Linked DNA regions of Astyanax mexicanus. The protein of the gene in region 1 purifies or fractionates together with the protein of each later gene. This does not show direct contact. Links are inferred from orthologs where the notes say so. Each region holds a gene or a part of one and is shown on either strand. Other genes may lie near its edges.

The links. The genes of interacting proteins can lie anywhere in the genome.
Region 2: the proteins of chuk (region 1) and eif2ak2 purify together in Homo sapiens (affinity purification with western blotting; 3 studies listed by BioGRID). This does not show direct contact. The link is inferred for Astyanax mexicanus from reciprocal best matches to the Homo sapiens genes CHUK and EIF2AK2.

The regions. Positions count from the first base shown.
Region 1 is NC_064414.1:37,824,855-37,835,137, reverse strand, and holds the start of chuk (inhibitor of nuclear factor kappa-B kinase subunit alpha), read left to right. Parts: upstream 1-5,713; 5' UTR 5,714-6,225; intron 6,226-7,612; coding exon 7,613-7,717; intron 7,718-7,912; coding exon 7,913-8,007; intron 8,008-8,097; coding exon 8,098-8,215; intron 8,216-8,346; coding exon 8,347-8,416; intron 8,417-8,518; coding exon 8,519-8,607; intron 8,608-8,691; coding exon 8,692-8,781; intron 8,782-9,016; coding exon 9,017-9,141; intron 9,142-9,412; coding exon 9,413-9,520; intron 9,521-9,638; coding exon 9,639-9,774; intron 9,775-9,871; coding exon 9,872-10,066; intron 10,067-10,174; coding exon 10,175-10,277; intron 10,278-10,283.
Region 2 is NC_064414.1:2,503,538-2,513,857, forward strand, and holds the start of eif2ak2 (interferon-induced, double-stranded RNA-activated protein kinase), read right to left. Parts: upstream 4,472-10,320; 5' UTR 4,174-4,471; coding exon 4,064-4,173; intron 3,220-4,063; coding exon 3,078-3,219; intron 2,679-3,077; coding exon 2,542-2,678; intron 2,457-2,541; coding exon 2,324-2,456; intron 1,596-2,323; coding exon 1,543-1,595; intron 1,312-1,542; coding exon 1,156-1,311; intron 1-1,155. Other genes in the region: gpatch11 (G patch domain-containing protein 11), read right to left, coding at 5,299-5,357, 5,490-5,571, 5,665-5,772, 6,150-6,240, 6,739-6,859, 6,936-6,977, 7,862-8,088, 8,854-8,903; cytochrome c oxidase subunit 5B, mitochondrial, read right to left, coding at 10,248-10,320.

The sequences.
Region 1 (10,283 bases):
CTCTTAACTGAGTTACTTGTAGACCATGTAGGCAGCATTAACACATCATTGGTGTTGATGTGTGACCAAAAACACCTACATAGATAGTATAGATAGTATATTTGTTGCTGGTTTACTTTTGGTATGATTGTGGATGGAAATGTTTAAATCATCAAAGCTTATAAGAAAAAAACAGTGCGCAACTGTTATGATGTTTCCATTAAAGACAGCAAAAAAGATATTTATTTAAGTTAAACAGGTCTTTGTCCTGCTGTTTCAAGTTCATTGCTCAACTGCTTCATGCCACACCATCTCCTGTTATATGCAGGCATTTTATATTTGTTAAAAATGTTCTACTTGCCACTGATTTCAATAATCTCTACCTCACCTCTTTATTGTTGAAGTGTCTAACTAATTGGGATGGATTAGCAAGTTTTGGTATCGAATGTCCATCAACCCTTTAAATTTATTTAAAACTTTGACTGAGAGTAGTCTAACCCTGCGTTCCCACTAGAATGCGACAAATCGCTGGTGTTGCCCCGCGTTTGCTGCTTTTGGACATGTCAAAGCTCAGTGCGCGTGTGTATCATGGTCCAGCTTCTGACAAGAAAAAAGGCACAAAATGTTGTATTGCTTCAACGGCCCTAAAGAAATATTTGTTAACTACATTAAAATCACAAAAATTGTTCAAAATAAATAGATTTTAATAAGACAGGGTGAATGCGAATGCGAAAGGAACCAAAAGTTCAGAGAGCAGAAGCTTGAGGACCTCGGACCGCCTTGTGTGTGATTGGTCCAAAGAAATGCTAGAAGCCAATCAGGTTTGACTGCCACAGCATTCACAGCGTCATAATTCATTTGCATAAAGTTGAAAAACATTTATCGCTTGTCGCCTCTTGTTTGTCACGGCGACAAATCGCGCCCTGCCATAGGAAATGAATGGTCACCTGTTGTGTTGTTGTTTCCAGTGTGAACGCAGAGTGAGCTACCCATATGTTAACATGTGACAGTGTGGGATGAAAACCCAATGGTGGCACCTTGCCAAGTCCAGGTATCGAACCCCAGCTCTTTAACCATTGACACCACCTATGTGCCCATAAGCAAAGCACCTGACTCCTGTGGCTGTGGAGGTGGTTGCCCATCATTCCGTGTGTGTGTGCTCCCACTACCCAGATTCACTAATGTAAGAGTGTGTGTTCAAGGCCATGGTTTCAATATCTGTAAAATGTGTTTTCAAATCCAGCTGATTTAAATGCTTAATCCAAACTTTAATGTTTCTCAAGCCTGGCTTGGGGCCCATTTAAAGGTTACATCTTTGCTTATGTGTAAATATGTGGAACTGGCTGGTGGGCCCCAAGAACTGATGGTTAAGAATCACTGCTTTTGTAACAATCTTTGTAACAACCTTCTGCTTTATTCCTTATTTCTAAACCCACCTAGTTCTCTCACACCGCCATACATTCACACAAAGCAATCATAGTTTCCCAATGGTAGAACAAACTACCTTTTAATGCCAGAAGAGGAGAATTTCTTGCTTTAAGAATCTTTAAGAAACTCCTGAAAACAGAGCTCTTCAAAGAGCACCTACTCTCCTAAAACCCCCAACAAGCTAACTACCTCTAATCTCATTTCCTTATTCGCTTTCCTGTTCTTTTATACTTTATATTTTATTGATTTTTTATATGTATTGTTTTATCTTATCCTTCTCTTGTAACTTGTGTACTATGTATACCTGCTGCTGGATGTCCAAAGTTTCCCCTCAGGCATCAATAAAGTATCTATCTATCTATCTATCTATCTATCTATCTATCTATCTATCTATCTATCTATCTATCTATCTATCTATCTATCTGTCTGTCTGTCTGTCTGTCCGTCCGTCCGTCCGTCCGTCCGTCCGTCCGTCCGTCCGTCCGTCCGTCCGTCCGTCCTTCCGTCCGTCCGTCTGTCTATCTGTCTGTCTGGACTTCTATGTCCTCTATTGCTAAATGTACATCACTATTGCAAGTCACTTTGGACAAAAGAGTCTGCCAAACATAATGTAATGTAATGTTATGTAATATAAACAATGTTACTGTGTATTCAGCTCATATTCTCTTGAACAGAGTTAGGTATGTAGGTAAGAAGCACTCAGGTTTAAACCTAACCATCCTAAAAGCAGGTTTGTACCGACTTCAGTTAAAAAAAGATATAAAAGCCAGACTCTGAGGAAACTGCGCAATACTGTCTGTACAGTGCAATTCAGTGGTTGGGGGAATGTGCAATACAATGTCTAACATAGATCCGGTTGGAGGTTTTTTATTTATGGGTTTCAGTTGTTAGCACTATAATACAAAATATATGTATGTATTCACAGTATCTATTTACTATATATGTTATACACATAATATACTGTATTTGGATATGTTGTCTATACTATACTATATATGTTGATTTGTTTTATTATTAAACTCAATCTTGGTCATCTGAAGCGACCCAATACATACAATATAATATAATGACAGTTTTGTCATCCTTTTTGATTGGACTTAGCAGCAAAAACAGTTTGATTTTCTCTTTAATTGTATCAAAAGACATTCTACATTTACCTATAATACAACATTTCTTAATCTGCACTTGTCTGTTGCATGTTGCAATGTAAATGTTTTTAGAAATACTGAATTACGAAATGGAGTTTGTTTTGTGGCTGCTTGTTGATTTCAGTTTTATATTCAGTGTGTTTTGTATTTTCCTCTACTGCCATCTACAAGTTAAAGTACTGTATTTATTAAAATCTAAAAAGGGGAATTATAACACACATACACACACAGAGCTGCAGCTGCTGTGTGACACAGCTGTTGTGTGCATGAATCATTGGGAGGCTGTCACACTGCGAATTCACAGCAATTCCGTTTTTCCTGTCTAACACATCACACCTGCACCACTTTCAGAGAAATTCGAATAGAGAGAAAAGGGAGGCTACATAATTTTCTCACACTTGAAATATTTCTCTGGACAATGAAAAAATATTTTAAGAACAAAATGTTTTTCATGAGTGCCGATGAATGTATATAGAAAAAACGATTTAGTTCTGTTCATTGTGCTAAAATTGACTCATTTTCTATCATTTTCTTCCAGAAATTATTTTTTTTTACCTTATTTAGCTCAGACAAGTTTATGCTAAGGACTGAAATGATTGACTGCATTGGCTAAAACAGACCATTTGCAGGACTGTACTATTCATTACATGCATTAGCTGAGTTGTAGCATTCGGCTTGTTAATTGTTCAGACACTCTGTCTACTCTGTAATCTGTTGTTATTTGTATAAAATGGCCATAGTGACTTAATTAGTTGTTAGCCTTACACCTAATATTACTGTTAATGGTAATGTTACTGTTACTGTTAATATTAATGTTGCATATGCTTGATGTCTGCCTCATGTATCCTGCATTCGTTTGTTCGTTTGGTGTTTTGTTCATACAGGTTAGACAGGATAGAAAGTTTTGAGGAGCAGCTGTATAATGTGTTATTGCCTCCGCACCGCAACAAATATGCTCATCTGAACAGCTGGCCAGAGATCAGCATTGTTTTGAAAAGCTGATGTCAAAACATGTACATTGAAAAAAGTGATTTTTCGGCTTGTTCCAGCTACTGCGCTTGCACAGATCTCCACATTGAGGAGAACTTTCCCATTAAAACACTGGCCCTCCTTTGATCAGCAAGCTGATTAGCTCTTTTTGTTGAAGGGTAGGGCTTCATCCATCAACAGATACCACGATAAGCATTACGAGAAATCTACCAGTGGCCGGTCACCTCATTAATACAATCTCTGTTAGCATCAGAAATATAAAGGGTTTAATGGCCACTCTTTATAATAGCCATTCTTTGCAGATTAACATATCTTATACATAAATATATCAGCATGCAATATATATATATATAAAAAGCCCTGAATAGAATATATTCCTGGAAGACAGATAAAAGGGTGGTTTCCTTTTGACTTATTCACCTCTTGTTTACTAGAAGGCCAAATATACACACTCTGGGTGTTAAGATGCTGCTTACAGGAAATGTTTGGCAATACAAGCTTGTGCTTAAAAGTACATACCGAGTTTATTATTATTATTAAGAAACCTTAACTGCAGTTTTGTAACAAAGCATCAGCCTGATGATTTTGGTGCAGCGGAATGATCTGATGAAGTTAAAACTAAATATCACTGTAGTTTGAATTTGTAAAGTTACACACTTACAAAACCTAACAAAAAATAGCAGGCTCTCAAATTACATTTCTCATACTATGTACATATGAACTCAAAACTTAGATACTTTTTCACATGTAGGTTTGGATTTTATTCTCCCTTATTAATAATAAAAACCTTTAATTTAAAAACTGCATTTTCTGTTTACTTGTGTTGTCTTTGAATAATATTTCAATTTGTTTAATGATCTGAAACATTTAAGAGTGACAAACATGCCAAAAAATATCATGAGGGGGCAACAAATATTTTACACCATTGTATACAGTATTTATAGATTCAAAAAAGCAAACTAAAATCTTACCCACTACCACAGTTTCAAGTGCTGTGCTGTGATCTATTTATGGATGAAGCAGGTTCTTAAGAAGTTACAAGATGGTCCAAAGAGGCCATTGTTTGTAATTGGTGATTTTGGCTGTTTATATAAAAACTAGTAATAGTAGTACAGATCTTACTAAAGAGTTTAGTGAAATATATTTTATTCCCAATTTGGAAGGCCAATTACACAATCCATGTTCATGTAAACTCCCCTATCACAAGCAATGCCCCCAGCACTAGGAGAGTGAAGACTATCACATGCCTCCTCTGACACATGTAAAGTCAGACACAGCCTCTGTCTGGACTTCATTGATGGAGCATTACTGGGTAACCAGCAGCTCCCCAGATCTAATACATCTGCCAACAGCTGTCTGTGCTGATGAAAATTACAACTGAAGTGACGTGGTGAAAGAGTGCCACCTACCAACCCTCAAGAGCAATTCCAATTGTGTAAAATTGAATTGAATTGAATTGAATTAAATGATCTAGGATACGAACTGAAAAGCCCTTGATCAGACAACAACGGTAAGTACAATATAACCCCCCTTTTCTTTGTGACTGCCATCATTACTTTAATAAAAGTACTGTATATGCAACTGTTATCACAAATTCAGTGTCACGTCATGTGTGCTATACTGTATTTTTTCTCATTGTTCCTTAATGAGTTAAAGCAGGTGTATGCTGTTACTAAACCAACCGCAACCAAATGTGGCTTTTTAGTGCACTTTGAATGGGATGACAGGAATCACTTTTATGTAACAACTATTTCTGATAACACAAAGTTATCATAATTCCTAAAATATATGACAGCCATATATTATCTACTATGACATAAGAATACGGCTTAAGAATTTAGCTGATGCTACTGTAACTGGACCTATTATGCAGAAATTGTTATTTTGAAGTTTTATTATTATTATTATACGGATAATAAATACGGAGACATAGAAGAGTTTAAGTGGGCGCCTTGAAGTGGGCGGGTCTATTTAGTGGGTGTGTCGATGTGGGCGTGTCTAATGAGCAGAGCGTGCCCTGATTGGGCGTGGCTTGTTGTGGATAGATCAGGTTGTACTGCTGACCTGATATCGGTTCTGTTAGCAATGGGCGATGTGTAAAGAGCGGGATTTGCGTTAGGAGACTGATCTCTGATCAGCTCAAACGGCAACTCGGTAGTCTGCAGCGCGCCTGCGCACTAAGCTTGTTTCGATTTCGAGTGCTAGCGCTAGCCAGTTTGTTAGCTGTATGTGAGGCGCTGGTCTACAGCGTTTGTTCCTTTAGTCGTTGAAGAAATCTCGATTTTAAGCTTTGTGTTGTAGCGTAGTGCTGTTTAGCGGCTGTTATCTGGGCCGGTTTTGGTGTTTCAGGGAGAAGTGCTGGTGTGAGGCTGACTTTTCTGAGCTAGCTCCGCTGCTAGCTGCGGTTACCTAATTGACTGCTGCATTACCCCAAGTTGTTTACGTGTAGCTGGCTAACGCTAACGCGGCTAGCTGGCTCGCTGTTTACCAAGTAACGTTAATAGCAGTAACGTTGCGTTTTAACGGGGCTTCGCAAGGATGACATGGATGTCGCCGTTATTCTCTACGAACTGACATATTCCATTATCTTCACATCTGGCACATTATCTTCACATCACAAATTACAGGCTACTTTCAAGCTAGCCACACAGATTGGTGAATCAGACCAGACCGGGCAGCGGTAAGATAACTTGGCTAGCTAAGCTAGTTAGCTAGCTAACGTTAGCGCTTGTTGGTTAGCTATAAGTGATAATGAAGTGTCAGGCTTAGCGTTAACTAACTAATTAGCTAAGTGAAATAAATATTACTCCACAAGTTAACCAGTTAATTTATTAATTCGCTGTTTATAGCACTTGACTAAATACAAAACATACAAGTGTGTTGAGCTGTCGCTCAGGCTGTTAGTTAGCTAACTAGCGAGGTAACCTAGGTTAAATCACTAACACTAGGTAACTTAGCTAACTAGATACTAACTACATACAGCTCTCGAAAAAACAACAGACAACTTAAAAATGAGGAGTTTCTTTAATTTCACCAAATTGAAAACCTCTGGAATATAATCAAGAGGAAGATGAATGATCACAAGCCATTAAACCAAGCTGAACTGCTTGAATTTTTGCACCAGGAATGGCATAAAGTTATCCAAAAGCAGTGTGTAAGACTGGTGGAGGAGAACATGCCAAGATGCATGAAAACTGTGATTAAAAACTAGGGTTATTCCACCAAATATTGATTTCTAAACTCTTAAAACTTTATTAATATGAACTTGTTTTCTTTGCATTTTTGTAGGTCTGAAAGCTCTGCATATTTTTGTTATTTCAGCCATTTCTCATTTTCTGCAAATAAATGCTCTAAATGACATTTTTATTTGGAATTTGGAAGAAATGTTGTCCGTAGTTTAAAACAGAAATTAAATGTTTACATTTTACTCAAATATACCTATAAATAGCAAAATCAGATAAACTGATTCAGAAATTGAAGTGAAACATGCCGGAAAATAATATTGCGACGTTTTAGGGTATTTTTCCGGTAGTGATATTCTTGGCATGATGAAAAACAGTAATATTTTGTTAAATAATATTGCAAGAAATCACTTCTGCAACAAAATATTGGAATCCTTTAAGTTTTATTTCATGAAAGTGTAGTTATTATCTTTAAGCATATAGCAGAAACAAAACAAATCTGTAAACTTATTTTGTCTATTTAGTAAACAGTAGCTTAGCTAACTTGCCTAACTTGACTTTTTTTGTACTGAATCATTTTAAGTGCAAGCATATAAATCTAAAAAATAATCTTTAGGCTTCACAGCAAATAAAAGGCACAATATTACTCTGTCACATATAATGCATTACCACCCTTTGAATGGCAATGACGTTTTAATTATCAGTACTATTGATTAGAACAGGAACATACATAGTGTTTATATAACATACATTTAGGCTCAACAATTATACATGCTATATTCCGTAAACATATTGAGGTTATGTTCATATGCATGTCTACATATTGTGCAATTAGATAATGCAATTATTATGACAGGCCTAAGTAACAAGTGTTTTTCCCTTTAGATGGACAAACCACCTTTCAAACAGACTCAAGTATGTGGACCCTGGGCTATGAAGGAGAGGCTAGGAACCGGAGGATTTGGTCATGTGTATCTTTACCAACATCAGGTAAAGCAAATTTGTTTTTTGGCCGCTTAGGGTTGTAGGTGGGGAAAGTCTGCACCAAGTACCTACCTAATAGACCAAGTGAAGAGCTTTGGAAGTAGTGGGTGATTAGAATATTTTGAAGGGAATGTCTGAATCATCTATAATGTAGCTACATTATGTTTATGTTGTTGAGTTAATGATATTTATTTCATGTAGGAAACCGCTGAGAAAATTGCAGTGAAACTCTGCCGGCTTGAGCTCAACGCAAAAAACAAAGACAGATGGAGTCGAGAGATTCAGATCATGAAAAAGTAAGTTTATAAGGAATTTGATTACTTATTTGCTTTCTAAATTGAATATATTTCTTATGCAAAGTTTAATATTTGGTTAACTCTTTCTAGATTGAACCACATCAATGTGGTGACAGCACGGGATGTACCTGAAGAGATGAAACACATTGCCTTGAATGACTTACCTCTATTAGCCATGGAGTACTGTTCCAGAGGAGATCTTCGTAAGGTGTGCTCAAGCATTAGCTTATTTTAATTGCCCTGTCTGTCATGTCATGTAATTGTCACCTGCTTTGAAGAAGACTTTCCTTTTTCCATTCTTCTTTATTTCCTCATACCATTCTTTTTTTTTTTTTGTAGTTGTTGAGCAAACCTGAAAATTGCTGTGGGTTAAAAGAAAGTGAGGTGCTGTCCCTTCTTAATGATGTCGGTAATGTATCACCTCTATGATAATATCCTTATGTATTTGCTTCCATTTCTACTCAGATGTGTCAAAAATACTGTTATTGAAAATGTTTTTTTATATTAACAGGTTCAGGAATTCAGTATCTCCATGCAAACAAAATCATTCACAGAGACTTAAAACCAGAGAACATTGTGCTTCAAGAGATTAATGGAAAGGTATGTGATATTTTATATGTGAAAAAAACTACAGTTTGAAATGAGTAGTTTGCTAACTTGTATAATTTGTTTGTCTTGTTTTAGTTAGTACACAAGATTATAGATCTGGGCTATGCAAAAGATTTGGATCAAGGTAGCCTTTGCACATCTTTTGTGGGAACTCTTCAGTATTTGGTGAGTCTTGTGACTAATTATTGTGAAATGAAAATTGTTAGAAACTAAATTTCTGTGTTGCTTGCTTAAACAGTAACAAACATTTACAAAGTTTTAATGGTAGTTCTTGTGTTTTTGCAATTTATGTTTTGTACCTGAACTATATATGTATTGATAACATTTTGAGTGCTAGCGCTAAAATAAATTGCAATTTGGCAACTTTATTAAATTGTTTTAATTTATTGTATTATTTAAGGCACCAGAGCTGTTTGAAAGCAAGCCGTATACAGTCACAGTTGACTACTGGAGCTTTGGCACAATGATCTTTGAGTGCAGCTGTGGTTTTCGTCCTTTTCTACACAATCTACAACCTGTGCAGTGGTATGTGCCTGGTCTCTTATATTATAGTAATTCTCTATTCATAGATGTTTATAAATTATTTTTGTTATATAGTTAGTATAGTTTTATGCCACACTCTTAACAAGTTCTGAGATTCAAATCATGTCCAAATTAATAACTCTATACTGTTTAAATGGCTTTTAATAATAGCCATTGCCAATATTATAGTTAAACAAGCAAATCACAGAGAATGGATGGTATTCAACATATACAATAAGACATGATTTCACACGCACAATATTTTGTTTTGTAGGACAAGCAAAGTGCGTAACAAAGGCCCAAAAGACATCATGGCTGTAGAGGATATGAATGGAGAAGTCCGATTCAGCACTCATCTCCCTTATCCCAATAATCTCAGCAGGTAATAAAGTGTGTGTTTTTTTGCACTAAACGGTAAACGTCTTTCATCTGCATTAAGTGACCAGGAGTTTCAGCATATCTAAGAAAGAATAAATGTTCAATGATTTTTCATTCTCTAGGACTCTTTTGGAGCCTTTGGAGAGTTTGCTGCAGTTGATGCTGAAGTGGGACCCAGTGCAAAGGGGAGGTGCAATGAACCCTGACACTAAACAGCCACAATGCTTTGCACTTCTTGAGCAAATATTGAACATGAAGGTTGGTCTTTTTAAAGTCACCGCCTCTGATGAAGAATGCTTTATGAAGGATCTCCAGCAGAGGGCCTTAATGTCTGATGCACGTTCCGTTGTTTTAGGTTGTACACATCTTGAACATGACCACAACAGAGGTTCACTCTTTCCTGCTAAACCCTGAGGAGGGCCTCCACTCCCTTCAGCAGAGAATTGAGACGACGACAAAAATCGAACACCTGAATCAGGAGCTCCTGCAGGAGACGGGAGTAATGCTAGATCCAAGGAAGCCTGCAGCACAGTGTGTCCTGGATGGAGTTGTAAGTGGATTATAAAATTACTGAATGATCTAAACTTTCTTCAAACATAAATTGGACTTCTATAACTGATATGCTGCACTTTTTGTATTGTTCATTTTTATTAACCAGAGAGGATGGGACAGCTATATCGTGTATCTCTTTGACAAGAGCCTAACCAAGTACTCTGGACCCTTCACTCCAAGGGCACTCCCGGAGAGCGTAAACTTTATTGGTAAAT
Region 2 (10,320 bases), about 35 Mb from region 1:
GCAGGATCACTAAATCATTTTAAATGTTTAGTTTCTAATCACCATCAGAAAGCCTATAATGGTTTTAAATTAGTTCATCTTTTTCTTATTGTTTTCATTTTTAATTTGTTTTATTTATTTGTATTTATTTATTACTATTTATGTTTTTATTTAAATTTATTTATTTTAGTACATTATTATTCATTTTATAATTTCTTATTATTCTTATAATTTTACTTTTATTACTACTGTTACCTTTTTCTTTATTTTATTTTTTTATTTTATTTTTTTTTTATGTGTCAATTTGTTTTTATGGCCTTTTAGAATTTTCTATTTTTTTCCTTATACATATATATTTTATTATATCTATGGTAAATATTGATACAATTAGTATTTAGTAGTAAATTAGTAAATTATTTTTTTTACTATTTTGTTCCTTATTACTTCTAATTTCTTATTAAACGTTCTCAATCCCTTTTGTACTGTAAATGCTCAGCAACATTATAAATAAGGGCTACCCTCAATGTAATCCCGAGTAAAAAAAAAACTAAAATACACCTGTGTTCATTTATAACTCCGCCCCCTCGTTACCAGTCCCCAGGTGTTTCCTGTTTCTGTTTTTTCTGTCTACTTCCATGTGTATATTTATAGCCCCTTTGTTTCTGTGTTCTTTTGTTGGTTCTTGTATGTGTTTACGTCTGTTAAGAGGTGCTGATCGTGTGTTTCTTGTTCTAGTTTATTTCTTGTTTTTTAGTATATTCCTGTATGTTAGTTTATTTGCTTTCGTGCTTATTTGGTTTCTGTTTTTGTTATTAAAAATTACTCGCATTTGCATCCACTGACGACATCTACTTACTGTGCAACCCTCACAACACTACAGAATTTTAGGACATTTTTACAGTCACCAGTAAAAAAAAAACTCTGCTTGGAGGCAAAACTATTATTTGTATACCTTTTAAAAAAAGATTGATTGTATTTTAAAAAGTATCTTGTGAAATTACGTATTTTATTCTTTTAAATAATCCAAGATTAAAACACATTATGTCCTACACTATACACAAATACATCAAATTTATTTCTATTACATTATTCTGTCATACTACTTCAGTTCATGTGTAAATCTAAGAATGTCAGTTTCACTCCAGTAAATGAAGAGTGTGATTTGTGAATACTCACTCAGGATTGTGGGCGGGTCCTCTTTTGTCTACCAGTTTAAAGTCCCAGGCTTGACCACTTTTCTGACAGTAGTGGTTCAGTAAACCTTTAAAATTATTATCTAATCCAGAGCTCTCAGAAAGGCTGTGGCTCAGGGATAGACCAGTCAGGGAGTAGCTAAGAGAAAACAAAATAAACAGGATTATTCAGGTTTTCACAGAGTTTAAATCAGTGTTACGTAATTAAACATATGGAACAACTGTAAGATGATTCCTGATTCATGTTTCTTTTTTTCCGCAAAAGTTAATAGTTAATTTAAATAAAAAAATTAAGTTAAAAATTTCAGTTTTTAGGTCCAGGTCTGTACACTGTAATACTGGTGTTTAAAAGTAAAAAATCATTACTTACCCGAGATCTGACATGCTCGGTTGTTGTGTCTCGTTTGTCCTTTCACCGGGAACCTTCAATATAAATTATTGTTAAAATCACAATCATAACTTTGAAGTAGTTTAAAGTTTAAATAAACTAGAAATATTAAGACACACAGTTTCATTAAATACATTTACATGAACACTAAGCATTAACTATTAACACTGTCGAAAAAAATTAAAAAGTGCTATACATAAAAAAAGTAAGTAGCGGTATCAGAATGAGGTGGTCATAATAATCTGGCAATACAGAAATCTAAAATCATCTGAGTTTTAATTACAATGTTTTATTAAACCAAATGTTTGGAGGTGATTACTAACATTCGTTAGCTTGTGGCTAATAAGCACTTAAATCCTCATAGACTGGCTAGCAGAAATTAGCATTACTACAGCGATGGTCAAAATAAGATGAGAATTGACTGAAAGCTGAGTGTTTTATTTTTGACTTGATGGATTTTTTCTGGTTATTTAGAGTTACGACTATTACATGTTCTGCTTCTCATATTTCACACTCATATGACCATTAAATATTTGGCAGGTCATACAGGGATTGTAATTATTGGGACTGGGACAAGGATTGACTGATTTGCCTATTGTGATGTACCTAAATTCTTATTTATTAAGCTACATTAGCCGTGCATATAGCATTTTGAAATGTGATAAAAGTTTTAAAACACAAATGTAATGTATTTTTCTTTTTTTTTTTTACAATTTCAGTTTGTAACACTTTATAACACTTACAAAAACAGTAAGTGACTGACCTCAGCGTTATTCTCCCCATTAATTGCTTTATACACGAGTTTAGCCGCCTCCTCCTTCGCATCCCGCTTTACTCTGCAGACGGCTGTCGGATATTCTTTATCACCACAAACAAACTTACAGGCATACTGTATTCTGAAAAGAAAAATCACATAAATAATATTAAATACCGCCTCATTATAAGTAGGTTTAATTTAATTTGAGGTGTTTAGATACTTGCTGATTGTTGGAGTCCAGCGGCATCGACTCGACGAACTTAAAATTTAATCTCATCTTCTGACCGTATTCATTCAGCCAGCAGGTAAAGTTGGCTTGAGTCAGCTTTGGTAAACCATCGAGTGAGCAGGGACTGGTTACCTGTAGATGTAAATATATATATATATATATATATGCATATATTTATGTATTCATGTTTACATTACATTACATTACATTACATTACATTTAGCAGACGCTTTTGTCCAAAGCGACTTACAATAATCAAGTACAATGTAAAATAAGTTTAAAGGTAAAACATCTTTGGATAGGGATAAAAGGAGGACAAAGGGGAATAATAGGATAGAGGAGTGAAGGAGGGGAAGAAGGAAATGAGGTTAGAAGTAGTTAGTGTGTTAGAGGTGTTAGGAGAGTAAGTGCTCTTTGAAGAGCTCTGTCTTCAGGAGTTTATTAAAGATAGCGAGAGATTCTCCTGATCTGGTAGTGGAGGGTAGTTTGTTCCACCATTGTCTTTTTCAGGTGCAGATTTTCTCAACTAACCACCACTTTTGCTGTACTAGCTGGCTCCTCCTCCTGTATGAGACTGAGGGCATTCTTAGCAGCATTTTGCCTAGCTTCTTTCTTGTTGCGTCCGACGCCTTCAGGATAGGGTTTATTATTCACCACCGCCCTCACGGTGAATCTGAAAATTACATTAAAAAAATATATATATATTACTGTTTTAAAGGTTAAACATTTTAAAGCATTATACTTAAAGTTTATTTTCTATAGGGTGATCCAAACAGGTTCAACAGTAGCAGGGATATTAAAAAATACCAATAATAATAATAAAAAAAACGAATTTAATCATAAATATTACAAACATAGATGAGGAGTTTTATGGATTTTTGTTGTTGTTTAGTACGTATGTCAAATGCATTTCTTTAGAATGTAAAAACTGTAAAATTGTACAAATTAAAAAAAAAATCCTATGCCTTGATAGTGATAAAATGTCTCCATATAATCGCATTTTGACAAAGATTTAAATTATTTAAAAGATTTAAATTAAAATGAAATCAAAATCAAATCAGATTTATTGTCACATCACAAAAGTACAGATGTACAGGTGAGTGAAAAACTTGGGTGCAAGTTCCACTGATATGCAGAGACCTATATTTACAACATAGAGTAGAATAAGTAAAATAAAATAGAAAATACACATAGCAACATTACCGATTAATACAAAAATAGTTATTGTAACAAAATAATAAATTATAAAAATACTGCCACATCATAGAATTGAGGACTGGGACTTAAAAATATTACTATCTATAGAACTGCACCAACAATTAAAATATACAAATATGTAGTTTACAAATACAAAGTAGCAGATAAAACCATAAATATATCCTGTAGTTGTTCAATGTGAAGGGAAATCTAATGTCAATTTCTACAGAGAGTAAAAACAGCTGCTTCATCCGGGCTACAGTTCACCTGTACAGGTGTACAATAAGCTACAGTTAAGTTCAGGAATCAGGTGGACTCACATTTTGCTGTGATCTGGACCCTTAGTGTCCACATCCTCAAACCTGTAGGTCAGGCCAGTCTTCTGAGTGCGCTCATTCAGCAAAGCAATGTAATTACTGCTAGATGCCATTAATAAATCAATCAAAATAATCAATATAATCAATAAAATCAATAAAATCCAAACAGTCCAATCAGCAGCACAGAGTGAAAAAACACCAGAGATCAGTTAGTTTAAAGGAAACATAAATACTTTTTAATAAAATAATAAAACGCTGTAAAAAAGCTCCTGTGATCAGAGCTGAGCTCCGGCTGTCGCTCCTGATCTACAGAAACCTGCATAAGTTTCGTTTCTGATCAAAAACCTTCCCCTGCACGAGCCCGACTTCACACAGCCGACCAATAGAATCCGCCCGACGCGGGTCGCGTGTTACAGAGGGCGGAACTAGAGGAACACAGCAGCGGTTTCCAGCCGAGCCCCACGATGCAACGTTTTTTTTTTTTTCAAAATAAAAGTCCGATCTCGCCACTAATAACAGCGAGTGCAGCTCAAAAAATTAGAAATATGCTTGAAAAGTTACGTTATTTCAGTAATTCAGTTTAAAATGTGAAACTCATATATTACATGGATGTATTACACACAGAGTGATCTATTTTAAGCGTTAATAATCTTGTATTATATAACAATTATTGTTGATGATTATAGCTTACAGCCAATGAAAACCCAAAAATCAGTGTCTCAGAAAATTAGAATATTATATTAGACCAATTGGTACTTTTGGAGCAGTGTGGGCAATGTGCCAAGTCCTGCTGGAAAAAGAAATCCACATTTCCTGTAAAGTTGTCAGCAGAGGGGAACATTGTGTTGTAAGATTTTGCAGGAAATTAAAACTGCACTGATTTTAGACTTGATGAAACACAGTGGACCAACACCAGCAGATAACATGGATCTCTATTTCAGCAAACAATATACAACCTTTACTATACACAATAAATATACACAATAAACATGCTTCAAAATGTATAGTAACGTCAACTGAAAAATAAACATTTCCTCCCAAATTCTTACATTATTCCATCAGAATGTGATTTTTCACCTTTCAACAAACCAGACACACAATCAAAATATTTTTTAGAATTTATTACAAATAAATATTATTTGAATATCAAGACAAAGACAAAATTCTTCAGAACAAATTGAAAGAAGATAATGAAAACTAAAATTATACGACAGATGTGCCAGACGAAGCCTGTTGATTTAATCATTATGGTCTGCTGCCGTATCTCCAGGACAATTTGAGCTTAAATCCTCTTCATCTATAAAGCAAGAAACAATGTCTGATCATTATTTTAAAAAGCGATCAAACATTTATTATGATACAATCTTGTTTTTTTAGAAAAGATAAAATAAAAAAATGAACAAAAATGATTTTTTTATTTTTTGTGTACCATTGTATGCCGTTCCACACCATATGCAGTAGAAATGCACGTCCCGCAGGTACGAGGTGATATACTGCAGCTTCTCCAACGACTGAAACCATAAAGAAACAACACTGTTATCATATGTAAGCTGAATATTAATCATATTTATACTTCTTAAGTCAGCATGTTTATTTTTTTTTACCGTCATCTCCTCTTCATCACTCTCCTCATCACTGGACTCTTCAGGATGCTCTGCCTCCTCAGTGATCACTTCAGGCCAATACCAGACATCCTTCGGTGCGACTTTACCCTAAAACAGAAAAACAGGCATCACTGAGGCTGCGTGTGAACAGAATAAAATCGTTTTTTGTTTGTTTTTATTCTGATTTGGGCCACTTTCATATGTGGTTCTAAAATCAGACATGTGTCGTATTAGGGGCAATGCAACAATTTGTAATTCATACGATAAGTATTGGAAATGGACAACAGCAGTGAGGGAGGGTTTCAGTTGTGGGTGGGGTAGTGAAATAAATTATAAAGCTTGGGCTGCAACCACTTAGTGTTTCTATTAAAACAACTGAATCTGGACACTGGAGGCTGCGGCTACAGCGTCAAAGGTCAAAATCTTACTCACACATATAAAGAAGCTGATCAGATCTGATCATCAGATTATTAATTTTTTTTAACCTGCTGGGTGTCGAGTTGTTGACAGGCCCGCTGGCTCCGCCTCAGATCCGCCTCTGCCTGCTGCTTCTCTTTCTCCGACCTCTTACGATCTCTGTGTTGTAAACAGGTCTAGATTTAGTTATTTAAACACAAACACAAACTAGGGGTTGCACAACTAAAACAGTATTTTTTTTGTCTTGTAGAACTAAAAACAGTATTTTTTTTGTCAAAATGCACTCTAGAGGTTGCAATTTTTAGTTTTTAGTTTTTTTTTTAGTGTCGTCTAATGCTAATATAATCAATCAGCTATAGACGCCTCTACATTACTCTTGCAAATATTTACAATAAGAGTATATTAACAACAAAATGTTTCAACTAATTATTACCACACACTAGTTAAGATATTAATAATAGTTATTATGAATTACCTATTTAACTAATGTCTCAATTCATTATTATTTATAACATTTAAAATGTAAATAATGAAGTAAAAAACACAGCACCTTACTGTACACACAATATACTGAAACATAAATAACATGGTTAAAAACAGATCTAACTTATGCTGAACACTCCTGACCACATGCACCTCCCAAATACCGGTGCTCACCTGAAATCCTCCAGGTTTCGTTTCTCCATCTGTTTTCTGATCTGGACTTTTTTGCGGTGATGTTCCAGTTCCTCCGCAGCCTTCCGCTTCTTCAGCTCCTCCAATCCGATCCCACCTCTGTCTAATAAACACAAACATCAGGACCTTCCAGTCTAGAACATTTTAGATCAGACCCGTAACTCAGACACACCTCCTACCTGTTTTAATGTTGAGTGGAATCGGATCAACTCGCCCAGAACCTGCAACATAATAACATCTATTAATAATAATTAACTATTAGAGCACGGATGAACTGACCAACCAAAACACAGTTAACAACCATGTAAAATACATCTGCAAACACAATATTCTGCCTATAGATGGGGCTGATCAACCAGTAATTATTATGAATCTCTGTAAAGAGAGAAAATTGAACCTAATGTGTGCTGCCTACTGTTAAAGGCCTAAGCTTTATAGGGTGTAAGTCTTCATCAAATAAATACAATTGTAAAAAATAAAAATAAATAAATAAAATAAAATAAAATGTGGGTACACACGAGCTGTCATTGCAAATGATCAGTCACATGACTCCTCAACTGACCACTTTTAGATTAGATTCAGGGAAGCAATTCAAAGTTTTTGGACAATGTTAATACAAAATTAATGTCAATGTTTCTGATAAAAAAAAAATATGGATATGTTCATGAAGCTTAGTTATGAAAAATGCAATTTGGTCTTATATATATCTATATTTTATTTCACTCACACTTTTATAATCTGTCTAAAGGAAATATGCTTCAGTCTGATGTAGCATTGCCGAGTAGCATCACAGCGCTAACGTTTGGAGGAAAGCGCTGCGACTCGGTTCTGATACATCAGCTCACAGATGCAGTCTTGTGCTGATCCACATCACCCTAGGAGTGATGAGGAGAAAGAGCGCCATCTACTGTACCCACCCAGAGAGAGCAAGGCCAATTGTGCTCTCTCGGGGCTCCGGCAGCTGATGACAAGCTACATGACCGGGATTTAAACCAGCCATCTCCTGATAATAATGGCAGTGCTTTAGACTACTGGACCACTCTGAGCCCATCGATCTCCTTAATGTGACTGTGAATGTGATGTCAGATGTTTTTGCGTTGCTGACCCTCTCTCCCAAGTCCCTGTCCGGCCTTATAGCCCATCTTCTGTAACAGAGCAAAGCCCTTGTTCTCGGTGCTGATGGAGCTCTGCAGCGCCTCCTGCCGCTGCTCCAGCTCCTGCTGTTTGATGCTTTTCTGTCGATTCTCTACACATTTTTCTTTATGGAGATCCTCTCTCTTCCGAGCCGCCTTCTCCCGTTTCACCATCGGCACGCCGGGCCTGACGTCCAGCCTGGCTCACAAATCAGAACCATGTTACATCATTAGAATATATCTGCTTTAATTACATCATCAGAATATAACTCTGCTATAATTACATCATTGCAACATAGATCTGATTTAATTACATCATTACAATATATGTGCTATAATTACATCATCACAATACAGATCTCCCTTAATTACATCAATTACATCACAATATATCTGCTATCTGCAGCAGACAGTAATAAGTCTGTGCACAGTAATACCACATATTCATAACTGCATTTTTATGCAGTGTATAAATCCTGTATTTGAACTAAAGTAAAGATAGGGAAGGTAAAATATTACTGCAGTAAAAGGAAAAATTCTACATTGAGACAAAAGTATTTTGATGTCTGTTAAAATGATCATAAACATTAAGAAAAAAACTATTTCCATTAAATAGAATCAACTGGCTAAAAGTAACTTTGTTAGGTACGATATAATAAAATATATAATATAATATAATATAATAAATATATAATAAATATAATATAATAAAGTACGATATAATAAAATCACGCTGTACACGCTAATGAGTTATCTTTTCGTATCATGCATAATACAAAATATGTTCAACATTTTGCATTATACAGTTTAATATAGTTAAATATTAGAGTTATTACTGAGGGTGCTAATGTTTACTGTTAGCCTGTTAGCTTCTCACTAATCCTGATCTGAGCGTACTAGTCCTAAATTACTATTTGGCAGGGATTAAAACGCGGATTAACTGCAGATTATTCTCAACACTTACTGTGGGTTCAGAAAAGCATCAGACATATAATCCTCTTCATCTGAAGACATTTTTTTATTAACAAATACAGCAGCTTGTGGAACAGCAGTGAAGCAAGCGAAGACTACAGACTGACTCAGAGCAACATTTCAAAATAAAAGACCATGACCGTAACAGAGTAGCAAAGTATAGCAAAGTAACAGCTTATTTTTTACTAATTTGCTGTAATTTAGAACACTTTTAAATAATGTTTTTACTGTTTTTGGTTTGGTTTTATGAAATAGAAAAGGTCAATATGAAATATAAAATATTACACACAGTCTTCCAGTGGAATTATAAATTTAATATAAATATATATATCTTGTTTGTGCGTTACAGACGCACTAGAGATCATTTTTAATCACTAGAGATAATTCAGGTCTGAAATGTTTAAGAGTTTGCAAGATCTAGCAATAGAAAATTTCTTCTGGGAGAATGAGTGCATACCTTTTTATCATTTATCATGAGTGGTTTTCTGGGTTCTATTGGGTTCAGCTGCATTTATAATTTATCTGTGGGTTAGTATGGGTTTGGAATGGTACGAAACAGTGTATAATTTATTGAGTATATTTTGTATAGTTTTAACGAGTAACAGTGCAACACATACTAATACTCCAGTAGAGTAAATATACAGCATTTTAGTACTTATTTACAGTAGTGAATTAGTTCATTTTAATTTAACTGTGATCCTCCTACATGGGTCAAGACTGCATTAAAACGCTCCTACAATGTTTCTAAAGCCAAAAAGAAGTGATTCTTTATGGGCTTTGCAGTATATTTGTTTTTTACTCAATTTTCACCTCAGTTTAGCTGAAACAATTAACCCACCCACTCACTAGGATTTCACCAACACTACAGTGCTCAGACACTAGGGGGTCACACATGTGAAATTAGACTCCGCCCCTTTTCCAGCTGCCACCAATACAGCATCACTAGGCAGCTGACACTCAGAGGAAAGTGCCGAATTGCCAGCTCAGATACCATCAGCCTACAGGCATAGCATCACAATGGGAGCAGTGATGGGAGATTGTTTTCTCTTGGACTCTGGCTACTGATGGTGAAGTAGCATGACCTACTGCACTCTCTCTCTCTCTGAATCTGGCTGCTGATGGTGAATTACAAATAACGTTTTCTAGCCATTTTGTGGAAACGTAATGAATTCAATAATCTCTGCAAATTAATACAACATAAAAATTAACCTAGTGGCACATTTCTGCAACATTCAGCACTCAGAACTTAAAACATTGTATAAAAGGGTTTTACTCGTTTCTCACATTCAGTAGTAATGATCACCCTGAGCTGCTGTGAGTGTTTGGAAAGGTTTATTAAAGTACATTTCGGGCCTGTGAGGTAAAGTTCATGTCTTGGCTGGAGACTCAGTGGGGAAGCTCATGATGGACCAGTTTATAGTGTGCTCCACAGGAAGGACAGCGCTGAGAGTTTCCCTCA